Linked DNA regions of Caenorhabditis elegans. The protein of the gene in region 1 purifies or fractionates together with the protein of each later gene. This does not show direct contact. Each region holds a gene or a part of one and is shown in the gene's direction. Other genes may lie near its edges. The genes, in order: C39B5.5, R160.10, elac-2 and etfb-1.

Evidence for each region.
Region 2: the proteins of C39B5.5 (region 1) and R160.10 fractionate together in Caenorhabditis elegans (co-fractionation; one large-scale study listed by BioGRID). This does not show direct contact.
Region 3: the proteins of C39B5.5 (region 1) and elac-2 fractionate together in Caenorhabditis elegans (co-fractionation; one large-scale study listed by BioGRID). This does not show direct contact.
Region 4: the proteins of C39B5.5 (region 1) and etfb-1 fractionate together in Caenorhabditis elegans (co-fractionation; one large-scale study listed by BioGRID). This does not show direct contact.

The regions. Positions count from the first base shown.
Region 1 is NC_003281.10:2,206,178-2,211,759, forward strand, and holds C39B5.5 (Cystatin domain-containing protein), read left to right. Parts: upstream 1-1,986; 5' UTR 1,987-2,092; coding exon 2,093-2,221; intron 2,222-3,772; coding exon 3,773-3,907; intron 3,908-4,196; coding exon 4,197-4,418; intron 4,419-4,892; coding exon 4,893-5,009; 3' UTR 5,010-5,065; downstream 5,066-5,582. Other genes in the region: C39B5.6 (Glutamyl-tRNA(Gln) amidotransferase subunit B, mitochondrial), read left to right, coding at 240-585; C39B5.14 (Fungal lipase-type domain-containing protein), read left to right, coding at 5,364-5,455.
Region 2 is NC_003284.9:4,366,499-4,369,064, reverse strand, and holds R160.10 (uncharacterized protein), read left to right. Parts: upstream 1-1,550; 5' UTR 1,551-1,552; coding exon 1,553-1,629; intron 1,630-1,689; coding exon 1,690-1,897; 3' UTR 1,898-2,039; downstream 2,040-2,566. Other genes in the region: R160.4 (DUF4845 domain-containing protein), read left to right, coding at 215-270, 321-522.
Region 3 is NC_003282.8:4,738,939-4,746,258, reverse strand, and holds elac-2 (Zinc phosphodiesterase ELAC protein 2 homolog), read left to right. Parts: upstream 1-1,991; 5' UTR 1,992-2,008; coding exon 2,009-2,052; intron 2,053-2,820; coding exon 2,821-2,952; intron 2,953-3,204; coding exon 3,205-4,075; intron 4,076-4,121; coding exon 4,122-4,261; intron 4,262-4,486; coding exon 4,487-5,474; intron 5,475-6,063; coding exon 6,064-6,287; intron 6,288-6,500; coding exon 6,501-6,603; 3' UTR 6,604-6,769; downstream 6,770-7,320. Other genes in the region: tctn-1 (Tectonic domain-containing protein), read left to right, coding at 28-159, 206-424; timm-17B.1 (putative mitochondrial import inner membrane translocase subunit tim-17B.1), read left to right, coding at 786-811, 860-971, 1,021-1,206, 1,263-1,373, 1,431-1,541. UniProt on the Caenorhabditis elegans protein: Zinc phosphodiesterase, which displays some tRNA 3'-processing endonuclease activity. Probably involved in tRNA maturation, by removing a 3'-trailer from precursor tRNA. Involved in germline proliferation.
Region 4 is NC_003279.8:2,417,945-2,422,298, reverse strand, and holds etfb-1 (Electron transfer flavoprotein subunit beta), read left to right. Parts: upstream 1-1,945; 5' UTR 1,946-1,952; coding exon 1,953-2,000; intron 2,001-2,260; coding exon 2,261-2,728; intron 2,729-3,450; coding exon 3,451-3,702; 3' UTR 3,703-3,838; downstream 3,839-4,354. Other genes in the region: did-2 (Charged multivesicular body protein 1b), read left to right, coding at 602-635, 694-800, 861-1,337; F23C8.13 (PDZ domain-containing protein), read right to left, coding at 3,842-3,928.

The DNA.
Region 1 (5,582 bases):
ATAAATTTTTTTTTCCGAATTTTTTTCTGCACAATTTGTAATAAAAAATGCCAGAAAACCCCTCAAAACATGAATTTTCACCGAAATTTGAATTTTTCATTTTTACAAGGGTTACTATAGCCTCAAAAGTACGCAAACACCAAGAATCTGAAAATTGCGTCAATGGGGTAAAAAGTGCCGGGAAACTCGATTTTTATACCGCAAAATCCAAAAAAATCCCCCCAACCCCGATTTTTCAGCGAATTCTTCGCCCGTCAATTCACCACCCTTCTCAAATTCTCATCAGAGCACCGTCTAACTCGCCTGCGTCTCCTCGATCTTCTACGTCACTATGCGACTGATGATGACGTCATGGCCGGCGAGCTGGAAATTTTAATCGAAGAAAATCGATATTGGAGAATACGGGCGCCGGCGGAAATCGACGAAATCGTGCGAAAATCGATGGAAAAACAGGAAAAATTGGTGGAAAAATGCCGAAGTGGACACGTGAAAAGCTTTAATCGATTGAGAAATTCGATTATTGATTCTTCGAATAAATGCATTGAATTGGAGGATTTAGAAGCATCGATTAGAAGATTATTATAAAGAAAATCGATAATTTTTTGTATTTAAATTGCTAAAAATCAATAAAATCCTAAAAATTTGATTTTTTTGTGACGTCACACAACTTTTTTAATTTTTTTGAAAACATTTTTGGCGATAATTTCAAATTTTCTTCGAATAAATTTTTGGCGGGAAACTCGAAACAGGAAACTCGACGCAGAGTTCTCATGGTTAAGAACGTGCTGACGTCACATGTTTTGGCGGAAAAAATTCCCGCATTTTTGGTAGATCAAACCGTAATGGGACAGCCTCCTGGCACCACGTGCTTTAAAAGTTTTTTGGCGGGAAATTCAAATTTTTTGAGAAAAAATTTCTGCGGAAGTTTTCAGTGTGAAACAAAACAACTTTTTTGCGAAAAAAAAATTGCGAAAAAAATTTTTTTTTTTCGAAAACTTTTTATTCCATTTTTTTTCGATTTTCCACTAAAAACCCCTTGAAAACATTTAAAAATTCGACTTTTCCGCAGTTTTTCAGCCCTAAATCATCGTTTCCAGTCAATTCCCGGTCACTCGGTGTTTGCGTACTTTTGAGGCTACAGTAACCCTGGAATTTTCAAAAATTTTGGGGTTTTTACCAATTTTTGTGCTGTAAAAGAAGGTTTAGGGTGTGGAATTAGTGGGGAAATTCGAATTTTACAATGAAAAACGTCTTCGGGTTACTGTAGCTCGGAAAGTACGCAAACACTTTGCCTACACCGAATTTGACGACAAATTGCAGAATTGTTTGGAAAATAGCTAGAAAATTTTTAAAAATGAAAAAAAAAAGTAAATTTGGGGTAAAAAATGCCGGGAAACTCGAATTTTCCATCAATTTTTTCAAATTTCCAACCTTTGCGGCGGATAATCGGCTTTTGATCTTTGCATAACAGTTTTCAGCTCTTTCATCCAATACAGTATGTCGACTGGGGTTACTGTAGGTGCCTTGTATCGTATACAACGTTTTACGAAGCTCAGCAGCTCGGGTTCTTTCTGAAAAATTGGATTTTTTATTGATTTTTAGCGGAAAATTCAAAATTAGTAGAATTTTATCAATTTTTCGGTGGAAAATCGGATTTTTATCGATTTTTCAGCGGAAAAACTCTCCTGAAATTTTTTTTCATACTTCTTTAGACCAAAATCCACTTTTTTTTGCAAAAATTGCATCCAACAAACTGTTTTCTCGATGATTTTGATGGGGAAAAGGACTCTTGAAAAAACAAAAGTGTAACATTTTCTCTCTCTCCGTCAATTTTTACACACTTTTCGGACGCCAAAAAAGTACATAAAGACGATGGAATCCCCCCCTTAAACTAATTAAAAATTTTCCGTTTTTTTTTTTTGGGGTTCTTTGTGTCCATTTTTTTGCTGCTGCAACAGACGTGTGTGTGTGTCAATCAAAAATTTGAGGACCGCTAGATAGGCTATCTAGAAAATAAAAAAAATATTTATCTATTCAAAAAATCTCCTATGGTATAAAAGTGACGATTTTCAGCTAATTAAACTATTTCAAAATGTCCCTGAATCCTTGGATTATTACATTATTCACTACTTGCTTCTGGGTAGATGTTGGATCACAGATAAGTGTGGACATCCCGCCGCTTAGAGCCTCTGAACTAATTATTCCGGTTTCTAATCGATTTGTGAGTTTATATATATATATATATATTTTTTTTTTCCTCAATTCTCTTGAAATTTCAAATAAGTACGATTTTTGAACTCAGCTCTCCGAGAGCTTTCAAATGACCCCCATATTGCATATGTTACGGCCACTTTGAACATTTCGGTACCCCGACACAGCTGAAACTCTTGCTACAGTACCCATCGTGGCGGGACCCAAATTTTCAAAATGCGTGGAACCTAGTCATGATGGGGGTCATTTGAAAGCTCCGAACAAGCTGAATTTGAATTTATTACTCAAAAATTTATTAAATCAAATTCTATGCTTAAAAATTTCAACTCAACTTTTATCTTTTTTTCAATTCTACTTAAAACTTCAAATAAGTACGATTTTTGAGCTCAGCTCATTGAGACCTTTCAAATGACCCCCATATTGCCTAGGTTCCGGCCACTTTGAAAATTTCGTTACCCCGACACAGCTGAAACTCTTGCTACAGTACCCATCGTGGCGGGACCCAAATTTTCAAAATGCGTGGAACCTAGTCATGATGGGGGTCATTTGAAAGCTCCGAACAAGCTGAATTTGAATTTATTACTCAAAAATTTATTAAATCAAATTCTATGCTTAAAAATTTCAACTCAACTTTTATCTTTTTTTCAATTCTACTTAAAACTTCAAATAAATACGATTTTTGAGCTCAGCTCATTGAGACCTTTCAAATGACCCCCATATTGCCTAGGTTCCGGCCACTTTGAAAATTTCGGAACCCCGACACAGCTGAAGTTGAAGCTACAGTACCCATCGTGGCGGGACCCAAATTTTCAAAATTCGCGGGACCTAGTCATGATGGGGGTTATTTTGAAGCTAATAACATAAGAACAGTAAATTTTCTCATGAAAATTTATTTTTCGAAAAATCTGCAAAAAAATGTTTTGGGTCTCGCAACGAAAACTTAAAATTTTTAAAATTCTGCTAAATCGAAAATTCAACAAAATTTTCGAGTTAAGCTCGTTGAGACCTTTCAAATGACCCCCATATTGCCTAGGTTCCGGCCACTTTGAAAATTTCGTTACCCCGACACAGCTGAAACTCTTGCTACAGTACCCATCGTGGCGGGACCCAAATTTTCAAAATGCGTGGAACCTAGTCATGATGGAGGTCATTTGAAAACTCTAGACTAGCTGAATTCGAATTTATTACTCAAAAATTTATTAAATCAAATTCTATGCTTAAAAACTTCAACTCAACTTTTATCTTTTTTTCAATTCTACTTAAAACTTCAAATAAGTACGATTTTTGAGCTCAGCTCTTCAAGAGCTTTCAAATGACCCCCATATTGCCTAGGTTCCGGCCACTTTGAAAATTTCGGTACCCCGACACAGCTGAAACTCTTGCTACAGTACCCATCGTGGCGGGACCCGAAAATTAAAAAATAGCCGGAACCTAGTCATGAAGGGGGTCATTTGAAAGCTCCGAACAAGCTGAATTTGAATTTATTACTCAAAAATCCAGAAAATCAAATTTTACCTTAAAAATTAGCAATTCTAAATTTTAATTTGTAATTTTTTTCCAGCAACTAATCAGAAGTGCTCCAGTGACAACTCGATCGATAAGCCCATTTCAAGTGATGCAGAAGCTTGCTGACGTTCCAGATGATGGGGAGACATTCAGAGAGGGCCCACTGGATATTAATGGGAGATTGACTGCGGTAAAACTGAAATTTTGAGAAAAATGGTAGTTTAAAGTCAACATTACAATCATTTTTGAATTTATCGTGTTTTTAGCTTTCAAATGAGCCCCATATTGCCTAGGTTCCGAGCATTTTGAAAACTCCGGGTTACGGTAGCTCCAACTTCAGCTGTGTCGCGGCGAGACCCAAAACTTTTTAGACTTAACGTAATCTAGTCATGATTATACTTATTTGAAAGCTTTTTTCATGCTGATTTCATATTTTTGGGTCTCGACGCGAAATCGTCAAAATTAAAAAAAAATTCCAGCGCCTCGTCTGGAAATCCTTTGAAGCCGACATAAACCAACGAATTGAAGGCGAATGGATGTGGGTTCCGCTGAAAGTACTGTCAGCTTACGGTCAAATAGTGTCCGGAATGCAATATGATCTAAAAGTTCTGGCGGGAACTTCAAATTGCTCGAGATATCAGGTCAATGCCTACACGATTCAGGAGCAGAATTGTGTGCATTTTAACGGGCCGAAACGGGCGGTAAGTGGGGATAAATTGATGAAAAATTCGGAAATGAAATTAGAATATTAACATTTAAAAAAATTTCTGAAAGTTATTTTTTATTTCGAAAAATTTCAAAATTTTTTTTTTTTCAAAATTAAAAAAAAAACCTTTAAAAGTCTTTTTCCTTCAAAAATCCTTGCGAAAAATTAAATTCTACGCCATTTTCCACATATAAATCCTTTTTTTCTTGAATTTCCACTCAAATTTTGAATTATCGATTTTCGCGGGGGGTACTGTACCTTCAAAAGTACGCAAACACCGATGACGCGATACTTGGCTAAAAATTGAAATTTCGGCATTAAAAACGCGCAAAATTCAAACTTCATAACTATAGAACACCTGAAATTCACTGGCTTTAATTTTGAAAATTTTGGAAAAAAATTTTCAAAAAAAAAATTTTTTTTTTTTTGAAAAATTTTTTAACTCAAAAATTTTCGATTTTTTTTGCAGATTTTCAACATTTTGGTGATGGAACGGAGCTCAAAAAGTTGGTCCCCATTTATTCCAGACTGGGAGAGAGTTTTTTCGACAGTTGACAGAGAAATCGGAGATAATGAAGACATTTGATTTTTTAAATTTTTTTTTCGTTGAATTTTTGTGATAATAAAATGAGATTTATTAATTTTCCACAATTATTATATTAAATTCTATCATTTTTGCTTATTTTTAACTCAAAAATTTGAATTTAAACGGACATCGTGGAGCAACTGCGCTCTAATGCGAAAAAAAGCGGAAATTAGCAATGGAGCGCGTTTACTGACGGGAATTTTAAATATTTTAATTTTTATAATCAAATTTCTAGTTTAGCACTGATAACGTGCTCGCCATGTGCTCTTTTCCCAAAAAAATCCTATAAAAATCGCAGTTTTTGTCTTCTTATCACATTTTTTTCATTTCTTTCATTGCGGTGAATTTTTCTAAATGAAATTTCTAGTTTACTCTCTATTACTTTTTCATTTCTCTAGTTTTGTGGAATCCAGTAAATGTACGGATTGTATTGCATCTGGAAAGCAGTAAGTTTTTGCTTCGAGACCCAGTTTTGAGCAAAGCTAAAAATATGACATTAAAACTAGAATTTTTGAATTCACCGTGATTTCAGCTTCAAAATGACACCCATATTGACTAAGCTAGGTCAATTTT
Region 2 (2,566 bases), on another chromosome or scaffold:
TAGACATTTGTCATTGTTAGCACTGCACAGATTAATTATTGATCTCCTTTTTTTGTTAATGAATGTTGATGTTACATATGTCAATTTCTGAACAATTTTTCATATCGATTTTGGTTGAAACCAATAAGTATACCTGTATATTTAATTAATTATCCTTCTTAACTTTTTGTTAGTTTCAATTACTATTTCGCAAACCTGCATGACTTGTTTCAACATGGACATCATCAAATGCATCTATCTCATCTTGCTCCTAATTTGGTCAATATTTTTGTAAGTGACGATGATCTGAAATTATTTTTAAATAGTTATGGAAATTATAGCATCATCCTATTCATAACTCTCATCAGAGAATGGTTCTTCCCACAGCCCCGTTTTTTCGAAAGATTTGAGGATGAAGAGGAGCCAAGTCGTCCACAAGGATTTGTATCTCTTGACGTGGAGCAACTGGAGCAAATGCATGGGCTGGAAGTATATGCTGCCAACAAAGTGATCATAGACACTGTTCCACTTCTTCCTATTTAAAGTAAGAAAAATGTTCGTAAATTTTTTCAAAATTTTATTACAGACGATCAACATGCACCATATGTATTCATAATTTGTAACAACGATAAAATTGAAATACAGTAGTATAGACTATTTCTTTTTAGTAGCTCTCGAATAACTTTTTTGTGGATAAATTTTAGCGTGCCCTTCCGTTTTGGTTAATATTTTGGTATTGTTAGGTTGCCAAACCATAACTATTATTTTGGTTTGATCAGAGGTGTGCGGTAATTGGTAAGTTGAGCAATTGCTGGTTTTTGAATTTGCTGCAGTGAGCAATTTTGGAACTGGCTGAAATTGCCCAAATTTCGGATTACTGGAATTCTTAAACTTTTCTTAAACCATATTTATGATTGTAAAATTTAACCTTGACGTAATTCATGTGTTAATTATTTCGTCAGACATTTTTTTTCTGTGTGAGGAGTAAAAATTCTGGTCTAAAATGCATACATGTACACGCTTTTATAAAACATTTCAATTCTCATTATCGGCGATTGAAAAATATATCGCACACATCTCATTTCAAGATTCAGATACCTCATTTTTATACAACTCAAACTTTACCATGGACGTCCAGAATTTAGTGACCATTGGATTTTTGATAGTTATCGGTTTGACTTCGGCGGTGGTCATGTAATTTCTTATTCCACTTTCAAAAAATAATTCAATTTTATCCAAAATTTTAGAATTTGGTACTTCATTGCCGAGGTGTTTCAAAACATGCATAAACACATTGCTCGAACCACAGTCATCCGAGTTGAAGCTACCATTTAGAGGTTGCTGTCATCTATTTTTTTCAAATTTTTTAATGGGAATTAATTTCAGAAATTGTACTGCTAATCATAGATGTTTCCTGATACACCCTACCGATTGCCCATTACTTTTTTACACCAATAAACGTATTTAAATTATTACCGATTTATCTTCTATTACTATATCCCACAAGGTTGTTAATCCTTGTCTCATATTTATAAGTTTCATTTTTTGTTCAACATTCCGAATTATTTGTCAGATGGAAACAGCTCAAACAATCAAATATCATGTTCCGCCGATGCTCATTTTTTTGGTTGTTGTCCTCTCGTGTCTCAGGTGAGAACAAAGTTTTCAGGAGTCTTTTAAAAAACAAAATGAACATTTTTGAATTTCCAGCATTGGTTTTTTGGTAGACTACATCATGCAAAAGTACGGTTGCTGTGGACGGAGAGGAAGTTGCTGCCGGCCAGAGCTGGAAGGAGATGAGGACGCTGAGAACGCTCAAGGGTCTATACCCCTAGCATCACTTGGAACAACTAACGACCCATTACCAGGAAGACTACCATTGCTGTCACGAGCTCCTATCAACAATTCACGCGTTTAAGTGTCTTATTGTATTATTTTCCCAATTGCTATAACCCGCATAATCATACCACACATTTCAATAAATTGTCATAATTATCATTGAAACCTAGAGAGAACATAAGTTTGTGTTTAATTTTTATATGTATAAAGTTATTACTGAATAAATTGGCAATTTCAAAATGATTCCATTTAGCCCCAATTTGCAATATATACGAAAATTAGATCAATAGGTTTTTGTCATGTGTCCCTTTTTTTCGTACTGTTGTGTAGTATCCAGTTATAGAATTATTTCCAGACATTACAAAAACATTCTCTATATATCAACAAACTCGAATTATTTTGTTTTAAAAGCGTCGCTGCTCAGAGAATTCAATGGCTCCGTATCACACTGAGCAGCGACTCATGCAAATTCAAATTGTAATTGTTTACTGAGTTTGAATCTATGCACTCATAGATTATTGGCTCGGCCAGTACATACTTGCAAGTCTCTCAATCAATTAAGAATAGAGGTTTATGTTTTTGATGTGTTTTTTACACAGTATTTGCTCTTCGCCTCCAATCCCCCTTGCCCTCTTCACCACTTTTTCATGTTCCCTTTCCAACATTTTTTTGTGCGCATATAGCATCTGCCAATTTTCTTCCATCTACTCAATCTGTGCATTGCCCCGTGATGAGCAGCGAGTGACGA
Region 3 (7,320 bases), on another chromosome or scaffold:
TTAATTTATATATTTTTTTAATTTCAGCTATCACCTTCCACAATATCCTGCCGTTTACCTGTGTCCTCGTTACTTCAAATCTACTATTCCAAGCAAGGATCTACAAAAAACTATCGAGAGGTTATAATTGCAGGAAACTCACAGCTACTTTTAGATGATGTATGACCTTCTTATTTAATGTATACAAAATTAGTTTTTTATTCAGGTTCCGTATCTTTCTGGCCAAGAAATTCGTATGCCAATCTCAATTTCATTCACAGAAGTCACACCACCTCCGAAGAACATATTTTCAGCTTTACCTTACGTTGATATTCGACTACCTCACGACTTCTTCTATCCATTTATGAGCACTTCAAACTACTCTGCTAGCTTAAACTATTCACAATGTATTTTTATCATTTTTATAATCTATATTCTTAAATAAAAACTGTTTTTAAAGTATTTATCCTTGTTAATTTTTATTAAATCTAGTCACAAACTAAAGAAAATATTTATTTTATTTAACTTTAATGTTTAAGATTTAAACTTTTAAGATAAAAGTTAATGATTCAAAGAAATAAATAAAAATAAAAACGATAGAAAAAACGAAAGTCAAGAAGGACGCAAGCAATTCTTTGCTGACGCATGTCTCGTGAAATTTGCGTGATGGCGCACTTCTCGTGCACTTTTCTCGAGCTTTCAGATTCATTTTTCAACTCAATTCTTTACAAAAAACTGCACTTTTACCGCTTTAAAATCAATAAATTTAATCAATTTCTGTTTTCAGGGAATAAATACACACAAAAATGGAAGAGTACACCAGAGAGCCATGGTAAGATTTCCTAAAATTGGTTTTTTTACTGAAAATAATTTTTTCCAGCCCATATCGTATCGGAGATGATATTGGATCGGCGTTTGCGATGGGTCTCGTTGGAGGATCCATTTTCCAAGCTTTTGGAGGATATAAAAATGCGGCGAAAGGAAAGAAATTGGTGATTAATTTTTTAAAGACAAAAATACTTAATTAATTGATTAATTTAGGTTGGGATGATGCGAGAAGTACGAATGAGAAGCACATTAACAGGAGTTCAGTTTGCCGCTTGGGGAGGAATGTTCAGTACAATCGATTGTTGTCTTGTCGCCATCCGCAAGAAGGAAGACCCCATCAACTCTATTGTTTCTGGAGGATTGACTGGAGCTCTTTTGGCGATCCGTTCAGGACCAAAGGTAGCAGAATAGCTTTAATTTAGTGAATTAATAATAATTTAATAATTTTTGTTTAGGTGATGGCAGGAAGTGCGATTCTTGGCTCTGTAATTCTGGCTATGATCGAAGGAGTCGGATTGGTGACCACCCGCTGGATGGGAGCAATGATGGATCCAACACAGCCGCCGGTATGTTTTGTTTTCTGGCTCAAAACTTATTTATTTATTTATTCACTATTTTTGCAGCCAGAAGCTCTCGACGATCCACGCAGTCTGGGACAAAAGAGTCAAGCAGAACCAGGACTCGACCAAACGAGACCCTTCGGAATTCCAACTGGATTACCAAATCTGTCCTAAATCTTTTTTCACTCATATCCGTTTTTCTTTATGCTTTTGTCTCTTATCTCAATTTTCCCCCCTCCAACTTCGGTGATCGGCCGATTCCTCTACATTTTTTAGGAGCTCCAATTTTATTAGTTACATATTACATTAGTGTTGTTTGTTTTGTTGATGATGTTCATTGCGATCACGAATCTTATTTAGATTCGCGCTTTCCTTCCAAAAATCAAGTTTCAGATCCGTATGGGTGCACGGCATCTCCATCTCTCCCCTGTTTTTTCGAATTTCTTTCCCCTTTAATTTCTTTTTAATAATCTTCACTGTTCCCTATTTCTTTTTCCGATGAAGACGTTGTTTATAATATCATGATGATTCAATCGTGTTTAAAGTAAAATTAAATCTTGAAATTATACATTAACTTCCAGCTCTTTAGCACAATAGAGTGCATGAAATTCAAATAAATTTCAGCTGAAAGCTCGAAGCTGATGCTCGGAGCGATTGCGAGGAAAACTGTAGAGAATCGGATTCTGTAAGGGTTTGTGAGTGGTCCCCCCAATTGAAATAGACGAGAAAATTTGCGATTTTAGGCAAAAATTCTGAAATTTCATTATTTTTTACCCGAAAACCTTGAAATTCGAGATTTCTCGTTTAAAAAACGCGAAATTTTTATACAGAAACTCCAGGTTTTGAGAAAAAACGGGAATTTTTCTACATTTTGCCTGAAAATATCGATATTTGATTTTTAAACAATGAATTTCACGGTGTTTTTTGCTAGAAATGCATTTTAAAAATTTGAAAACATGAAAATGTTGTTTTTTGGCATAAAGTGTATAAAAATATCGGAAATTTTGCGGAAAATTGCATGAAATGTTTTTATGCTAAAAATACGGTATATGGTCTCGACGCGAGAAAGTTTTGCAAACTGCAAAGAGGCGTGCGCCTTTAAAGAGTACTGTAATTTTAAACTTTTGTTTTTGCGGATATTTCATAGTTTTTCATCCCGTTTTCTTGAAATTGTATGTGTTTAAAAAATTATATATGTATCCCACAGTCTCGTCATCGAAAGCGCACAAAAAACAGCCTACTGGCGCGGATATATCCACGGCGAGACTTTGAAGCTACAGTACTCTTTAAAGGCGCACGCTTTTTCAAGTTTTGCAGCAAAAACTGTCGTGTCGAGACCTAGTTTGTTGGAGATTTGCAAAATTCCACACCTGGATAACAACAATTTTAATTTCTGCATGTTTTTCCGCTAGTACTTTCACATTTCGCAATTTTTCACAATCTCACTTTTCAGAGTTTCTCGTCACTTGATTTCTTCAACCAGCTGCTTATTTAAGGATAATAACGAAGAATTATTAGAAAGTATCAAGGAGAGAATTGCCAGAAATCGCCGAATTCTTCAGAAGCATTCGTCTTCACATTTGAAGTGAGTTTTATTGGGATTTTTTGTCTGAAAAGTACAGTACGGGGTCTCGGCACGACAATTTTGTTGAATGGCAAAATGCGTTAAAGAGACATTTTTCAAGATTTCACATATATGTTCGACCTCAAAACTTGAAATTTGACATGCTTCCGTCAATTTTTTCAAAATTTCAGTTGAAAAATACATAAACTGTATGAAAAAATTCGAATTTTTGATTTTTTTGACGCTATTTAATAAACTTTACCAATATTTCAGAGCTCGAGAAGTAAACGCAAGCATCTCAAATCTGCGACAATCAATGGCGGCAGTGCAGAAGAAACAAAAAGCGGCTCACGAACCACCGGCCAACTCAATTGTCAACATTCCCAGTCAAGTATCGATCGAAGTTCTCGGTAATGGAACAGGACTTCTCCGAGCATGCTTCATCCTTCGAACACCACTGAAAACCTACATGTTCAACTGCCCTGAGAATGCATGCAGATTCCTGTGGCAGCTTAGGATCCGAAGTTCAAGCGTCGTTGATCTTTTCATCACATCTGCAAATTGGGATAATATTGCTGGAATTTCATCAATTCTACTTTCTAAGGAATCAAATGCATTGTCTACTCGACTTCATGGTGCAATGAATATCAAACACTTTTTGGAATGTATTCGACCATTTCAAGATTCGGATTACGGTAGCTGCAAGTATCCATCTCAAGTTGAAGAACGTCCATATACAATGGAGAATTATGAGGATGCCGGATTAAAGGTCACATATATTCCTCTGAGTCCACCGTTGAATATCGGAAGTAACAACGAAAAAAGTAAAAATGTGAAAGTCAACAATGTAGACATTGCATTTTTAATCGAAATGAAGGAGGCAGCCAGACGAATCGATACGATGAAGTTGATGGAACTGAAAGTACCGAAAGGTCCACTAATTGGAAAACTGAAATCAGGAGAAGCAGTTACTCTTCCAGATGGAAGGACGATTCAACCTGATCAAGTTTTCTCATCGGATAAAGTTGAAGGAGACAAGCCACTGCTTTTAGTGACAGAATGTACTACAGAGGATCATGTGAAAGCACTGATAGACTCATCATCACTGCAACCATTTTTGAATGGGGAAAAACAGTTGGATTATGTAAGATTGAAAAAAGAATTATTGACATTAAAAAATACATTTTCAGATGGTTCATATCAGTGATGATGCAGTAATCAATACTCCAACCTACAGACATTTGATGGAGAAGCTCAACAATCCCAGTATCACTCATTTGCTGATCAATGGAGGGAATCCTGTGATTCCAGCTGTGGAAAGTGTCTATAAGTAAGGAAAATATGAAATATTGAATAGATCTACGAATTCGAGATCTGCGAAAACAAGATCCAGGGTCTCAAGAGCTGCAGTTGGCACGATTTCAGGACCTCTGTTTTCGCAGATCTTCTATTTGACGAGATCCCGTTTTCGTGTTCCCTCGCGGCATCAGAAAATTCAAAAAATTTCAGTTTTACAAAATCCATAGGTTTTAAGAATCCAAATTGTTATTTACAGACACACTCGCCTTCTTCGATCAATTGCTCCATCTCTCTTCCCAGCTCTTCACCCAATTGATTGGAGTGGAATTATAACTCAAAATGAGGAGCTATCACAACGACAGGATCAATTCATTCGAGTGGCTCCAATGCAACGATATTGGATGCGCCGAGGAGCTTCGTTCAACGAGGAGCCCATCGTCAACAATTTGCTAGCTGCTGAGCCAGAGCTGTCGGATAAAGCGAAGGAATTGATTAAGGAATATCAGAAGTTGGAGAAGGAGAATAAAATGGACTGCGAATTTCCGAAATTAACATTCTTCGGAACTTCGTCCGCGGTTCCATCAAAATATCGAAATGTGACAGGATATCTGGTGGAAGCATCAGAGAACAGTGCGATTTTAATTGATGTTGGAGAAGGAACATATGGACAAATGAGAGCAGTTTTTGGAGAAGATGGTTGTAAGCAGCTTCTGGTAAATCTCAACTGCGTCCTTATCACTCACGCTCATCAGGATCATATGAATGGGCTGTACACAATTATTGCACGGAGAAAAGAAGCTTTCGAGTCCCTCGGAGCCCCTTACCGTCCACTAGTCCTTGTATGCAATCGGAATGTTCTGAAACCAATGAAGACCTACTCAATTTGCTTTGAAAACATTGAGCATCTCCTCGAAATTGTTGATATCTCCAGGTATCCACTAACACCTCCCGGGAGCCCTGGAGGGCCTCCTGGAAAAAGACCGAGACTTCCGAGCCCACATCTCCCGCCGAGCAGAGATGTTCTACAGGATATGTCGAGCAGTTTCGATAAAAAGGCATGGAAGCTGGATGAGCTGAAGGCTGTACAAGTTCATCATACAAGAATGGCAAATGGATTTGTGATGAGAGTTGCTGGAAAACGAATTGTATTCTCTGGAGATACGAAACCATGTGATTTGTTGGTTGAAGAAGGAAAAGATGCTGATGTTCTTGTTCATGAATCCACTTTTGAAGATGGTCATGAGGTAGATATGACACCAAAACCCCCAAAAAAATTGGCTAAAATTTCGTCTTTGGTTTTATTACTAAATTGTACGAGATTTTTAGCCAAAATACGGTAGCTAGGGTCTCAACACGACAATTTTTGGATAAATGCAGAGATTGAAGATAACAGAATTTTCATCGAATTTTCATAGTTTTTCGTTGAGAAATATATAAACTTGTGAGAAAAATCGATGGAAATCTTGCAGAAACAAAAGTTTGAACCTACAGTATTCTTCAAAGGCGAATAACTTTTTGCATTCGGCAAAAATTTTGTCGTGTCGAGACCCTATATTACGTATTTTTAGTGCAATAATGAAAAATCCAACTATTAGAAACCCGCTTTTTCAGTTTTTTTTTTTAATTTGAATTCCATCCAAACTGAGAACTTCAAGACCAATCAGCGACTTGCTCCTCTCATTCCGCCTGATTGGTCGAAATATGGGCGGAGCTATTCGCTGATTTGTCATATTTCTCATTTGGCAGGCATTCAAACAGCGAATTTTTTCTGAGTTTCGGACTATTTTGGTTTTTTAAGGCAAATATTGAAATTTTTCAACCAATTAATTTCAGGCTGATGCAATGAGAAAACGTCATTCAACAATGGGTCAAGCAGTCGATGTTGGAAAACGAATGAATGCCAAGCACATTATTCTGACACATTTCAGTGCGAGATATCCAAAAGTACCAGTTCTTCCTGAATATCTTGATAAGGAAAATATTGGTGTGGCGATGGATATGTTGAGAGTTCGATTCGATCATTTACCACTTGTTTCGAAACTTCTTCCCATTTTTAGGTAGATTTCAGATTCAGTATTCAGGAGAAAATGGGCCATAATGACCGAATATAACTGTGCTCGAATTTTTTTTTGCAAAATTGAAACAATTTTCAAAAAATTCAGAAATATTTTATAATTTTATTAATTTTTAACAGTTATATTCGGTTCTTGTGGTCCATTTTCTGTCATTTAAAGCAAAATGTTGAAATAAATAAATTTATAAATTTACAGAGAAGTATTCGTGGCGGAACTATTCGAATTAACCATCAAAAAAGAACAACGGGTTTTGAAAGACAAGGAATTGTCTGAAAAGCGAGGTCAATTAAAGGCTTGAGTGACTGGCCACATTCAACATTAATTCACTTTTCATCCAGTTATTCACGTTTTTAGTTCATTGTTACTTTTGTTTTCATTTTCTTGTTTTGTTGTCAAGGTTTTTTTCTCGGAAAGTTTTGGAACAAAAAATTTTTGGTTCCAGCAATAAAAATTTATATGGTACTATTAAGCTTCTTTTTTTCAGAAGAACAATATGTGAAGTTACAATTACAAGTGTTCTATTGGGGACGCACAAAACTGATCTCTTTGAAATTGAGGCGCAATCGCGCTCCAAATAAAACGACTACCCCAACCGTTGGGTCTCGTTAGGTATTTAGCGGTAAAACCAAATATACAGGCGGTTTTCGACTTTTTTGAAAATTGTTTTAAATGATTATTTTGTTTAAAAAAAATGCATGTGATATTGAAAAAGGGAATTCTACTGCTTTTTAAATTTTATTATCAATTTTATGTTATCAGTTTTAACGATTGAAACCGTTCAGAAAAATGAAAGCGTTTGAATTCCTAGTTTACCCGCCAATACCTAACAAGTTGAAAGGCGGGACGTTTTCAATTGGCCGTGGATCACGGCGTTCGTGTTTAATAGGGGAATTTTTCGGCGTTTCCGTATTATGTGCGTCAAAACTTTTTTCCGCCCAAGAAGTGTAAATTTTCATAATCTTGATAAATTCAAGTGGATAGAGAATATTCCTTTGAACGTTTGTGGCGCAATAGC
Region 4 (4,354 bases), on another chromosome or scaffold:
GAAACGACAATTGTTTGTTAAATGCGTGAAGGTGTGCGCCTTTAAAGAGTACTGTAATTTAAAAATTGCGGTATTTTCTTCAATTTTTTTATTTCTTTTGATTTGTTAAAACATATACTGTTTTTTGTTAGTTTATTGATGAATAAATTCAATTTTTTTTACAAAAAAACTACGAAAAGTCGATAATTACAGTAATTTTCAAAGAAAGGCGCACAGATTTATTCAGATTGGTCTTGGCACGCAAAAAAGTTTATGGTAGTTTATTTTTGTGCGATTTTATCTATCGGTGAAATTACGATGTTAATTTTTTCAAATTCATATAGCGGATCTGGAAATATTTTTGACGTTGATAATTTTGTGTTTTATAGCCTGAAACCGACTTAAAATACAGAAATTTCTACAACCCAAAATTGTCGTAAGATCCGCTGCTTGCGGACATCAAGTGTCGTCGTTTATGACGTAAAGTCCGCAGATACACACACATGACTCATGAATTTGTTTTTATCGCTTTCTTGCGAAATTTAACTTATAAAAGCACTTTCTCACCGTAATTCTCGTATTTCAGAAACTCAAATACCAGCTTAATACACATAAAATCATCATGGGAGCCGGAGAAAGCAGTATGGCCTTGGAAAGTGAGTTTCAAATTGATTTCTCTTGATTTTGACTTATTTTCATGTTTTTATCTTCCAGAACACTTATTTGATCTTAAATTCGCAGCGAAACAGTTGGAAAAGAATGCTCAACGATGCGAGAAGGATGAAAAGGTCGAGAAAGACAAGCTGACGGCAGCTATTAAGGTAAAAAATAATTAAAAATGAAAAAAAAAACAATTATTTTTTAAATTCGATTTTTTCCAGAAAGGAAACAAAGAAGTCGCACAGGTTCATGCTGAAAATGCGATCAGGAAGAAGAATGAAGCAGTGAACTACATTAAAATGGCCGCCAGAATCGACGCAGTGGCCGCCCGAGTTCAAACCGCCGCCACACAAAAACGAGTAACCGCCAGCATGAGCGGCGTAGTGAAAGCCATGGAAAGCGCCATGAAGAGCATGAATCTCGAGAAAGTTCAACAGTTGATGGATAGATTCGAAAGAGATTTCGAAGATCTCGACGTGACCACAAAGACGATGGAAAAGACGATGGACGGAACGACAGTGTTGAATGCTCCGAAGTCACAGGTGGATGCTCTGATTGCAGAGGCCGCCGACAAGGCAGGCATCGAGCTCAACCAGGAGCTTCCGTCAAACGTGCCAACTGCTCTGCCGACCGGGACGCAAGCTGTTTCAGAAGACAAGGACCTCACAGAACGCCTGGCTGCTCTTCGCAACATGTGATCTTCCAGATTTCTCAAGAAATTTCTGTGAATATGAATATTCTGCTGACGGTTTCATTTTTAAAATTAAGATACTGCTTTTTTTCTTGTATATACAACATTTCTCTCAATAATGAAGCAACAATTTTTCTGCTTTTTTTTTGTTTTATCTAATCTATCTAGATCTACGAAGTTCAGCTCATGTCTTCTTCGAAATATTTATTCTTTTATTTTTCAGAACATTTTTTCTACAAATCGGTCGCTTACGTGTAGGCCACAACAATCACCGCCCGCGTTTCATTCTCTGCGTCTCTCGTCTTCCCACACTCTCTCTCCACATCGTCTTATCTCTCTCATCACTTGTTTTATTATTTTTATTCTTATTTTTCACGAATTTTCTATAAAAAACGGAATTTTCGAAGGTTTTTAAGGAAAAACGTGGCAGTTTTAAAGCTATTTTAAACATTTTTCGGCTAAAATTTCGAATTTCGGCTTTAATTAATTGATTCAAATTTAAAAATCAAATTCTGAACTCTGAAGTGTGTACTTTGACCCCGCCGCCGCTGTTTTTTTCGATCATTTCTTCATTTATTAATAAATAAATAAATTTATTCCCAGTTTTTCTTCCAGCCAAGCGATGAAGATTCTCGTCGGAGTCAAGAGAGTTGTCGACTATGCTGTCAAGGTAGGATTTCAGGAAAAAGAGCAAAAAATTCGAAAAAACAGCTTAATTTCGGCGAAAATCTTGAATTTCACCAACTTTTCCGTGTCGCAGCAGTTGGAAATCAGTTTTTTGTCATTTTTGGCTCAAAGTGTACCCCAATCAACGGAAAATCGATTAAAATTGGCAATAAAAGCTGATTTCCAACCGCTGTGACACGGAAAACTTGGATAAATTGGAGATTTTAGACACATTTCGATTCTATAAAAGCCCAAAATTTCCAGATCCGTGTCAAGCCGGACCGCTCGGGAGTCGTCACCGAAGGAGTTCAACACAGCATGAATCCATTCGACGAGATCGCTTTAGAGGAGGCCGTCAAGCTCAAGGAGAAGAAGCTCGCCACCGAAGTCGTCGCGTTCTCGCTCGGCGGACCAAAATCCGCCGAAGTGCTCCGGACCGCGTTGGCGAAGGGCGCCGACAAGGCAGTTCACGTTCAGGTGACCGACGCCGAAGCTGGCAAGCTCGAGTCATTCCACGTGGCGAAGGCGCTTCAGAAGATTGTCGAGCAGGAGAAGTTCGACGCGGTTTTTCTCGGAAAGCAGGCAATCGATGATGATTCGTCGCAAACTGCTCCGATTCTCGCTGGCCTGCTCGAGTGGCCACAGGCTCTCTACGCGTCGAAGGTTGAAGACGCAGGCGCTGGACACATGAAGGTCACCCGTGAAATTGATGGAGGTCTTGACACGATTAAGGTGATTCTTACTATATCGATCGATAGCCGTGAAAAGCAGCCCCGCACAGAACGCGAGACGGGGCTTGATATTGCAACCCTGCGGCACGGTTTTTCCTTTTTCCGCTTGTTTTTTGTTTGATTTTTTCAATTTTTCATGTTTTAATCTCTTTTTTCGAATGAGAACGTTATTTAATTTAAAATCAAAATTTATTAATCGATCCTTAAATTTTGCAAAAATTTGTCGCACAGAAAGTGGGGCGGAGCGTAGCTTACGCAACACTGCCGCACGGGGTTTGTCTCCGCCCCTTTTCCACTGCTTTTTTTGTTGATTTTTTCAATAAAGTTTCGATTTTTCTCTTTTTTTTCGAATTGGATTTTCATTCGAAAAAAAAAGAAATTATTGAAAAAATCAACAAGAAAAGCTTAAAAGCAGTAGAAAAGGGGCGGAGGCAAACCCCGTGCGGCAGTGTTGCAAAAGCTATGCCCCGCCCCACTTTCTGGGCGACAAAATTTCTTGCAAAATTCAAGGATCGATTAATAAATTTTGATAGTTAATTAAATAACGTTCTTATTCGAAAAAAAAGGAGATTAAAACATGAAAAATTGAAAAAGCGAAAAAAGGAGGAAAAACCGTGCCGCAAGGTTGCAAAATAACGCCCCGCCCCTATTTCTGCGCGCCGCTATTTTGTTTGCAAAATTCACGGATCTAAAGTTTTATTCGAAAAATTTTCTATTTTCCAGGTCAAAGTGCCATTCGTCCTATCCGCCGATCTTCGCCTCAACGAGCCCCGCTACGCGACTCTTCCAAACATCATGAAGGCCAAGAAGAAGCCACTGAAGAACATTCCAATCAAAGATCTGAATGTAGATATCACACCACAAACTGAAACTCTTGAAGTCACCGAGCCACCAGTTCGCCAGGCCGGAGGATTCGTCGACGATGTCTCGGCACTTGTCGCCAAGCTCAAGGAGAAGGGATTCGTCAAGGCTTAAGCCCCCGATAACCTCTTCCGCCGCTGAATTATTGTAGTAGTCGAATCAGAAAATTTTGTATTTAAATTATTTTTATTATTTTTTCTATTCAATGTTTTATGTGATGCAGGTTTAAAAAAGTATGAAAAATTATTTTTGTTCATAAAAGTGAATAGCTTGAACGGGAAACGATCAAAAAACGGAATGCATTGTTCACAAAACCATGGGAGAATTGGTGTAGGTAGATCTGGAAATATTACGGATTATTATCTGGGCGCGAAAAATTACGCGCCCCGCCCCTAAACGATGGGTCTCGTTAGGTAAATATTTGGCGGCAAGACGGGAAATTCAAATGTTTTACATTATTCTTGCCAATTTTTAAGCTTTTTTTCATATTTTTTATAAGTTTTAGGTCGAAATAACGATTACTTCCGACGATTTTACCCGTTTTCAAGCATTTTTCGTTATTTTTTATGTTTTTATGCCGAAATTATGGTTAAAAATGATTATGACATTAACTTTTTCAATTTTGACAAAAAAAAACTCATTGAAAACAGCGAAAAATGCTGGAAAATTGGCAAAAACGGTTTTCCCGCCAATTCCTAACGAGACCCAACGGTTTGGGGTGGAGATTTGTCCGTGGAGCGCAATTGCACTTTATAGTATTACGGAA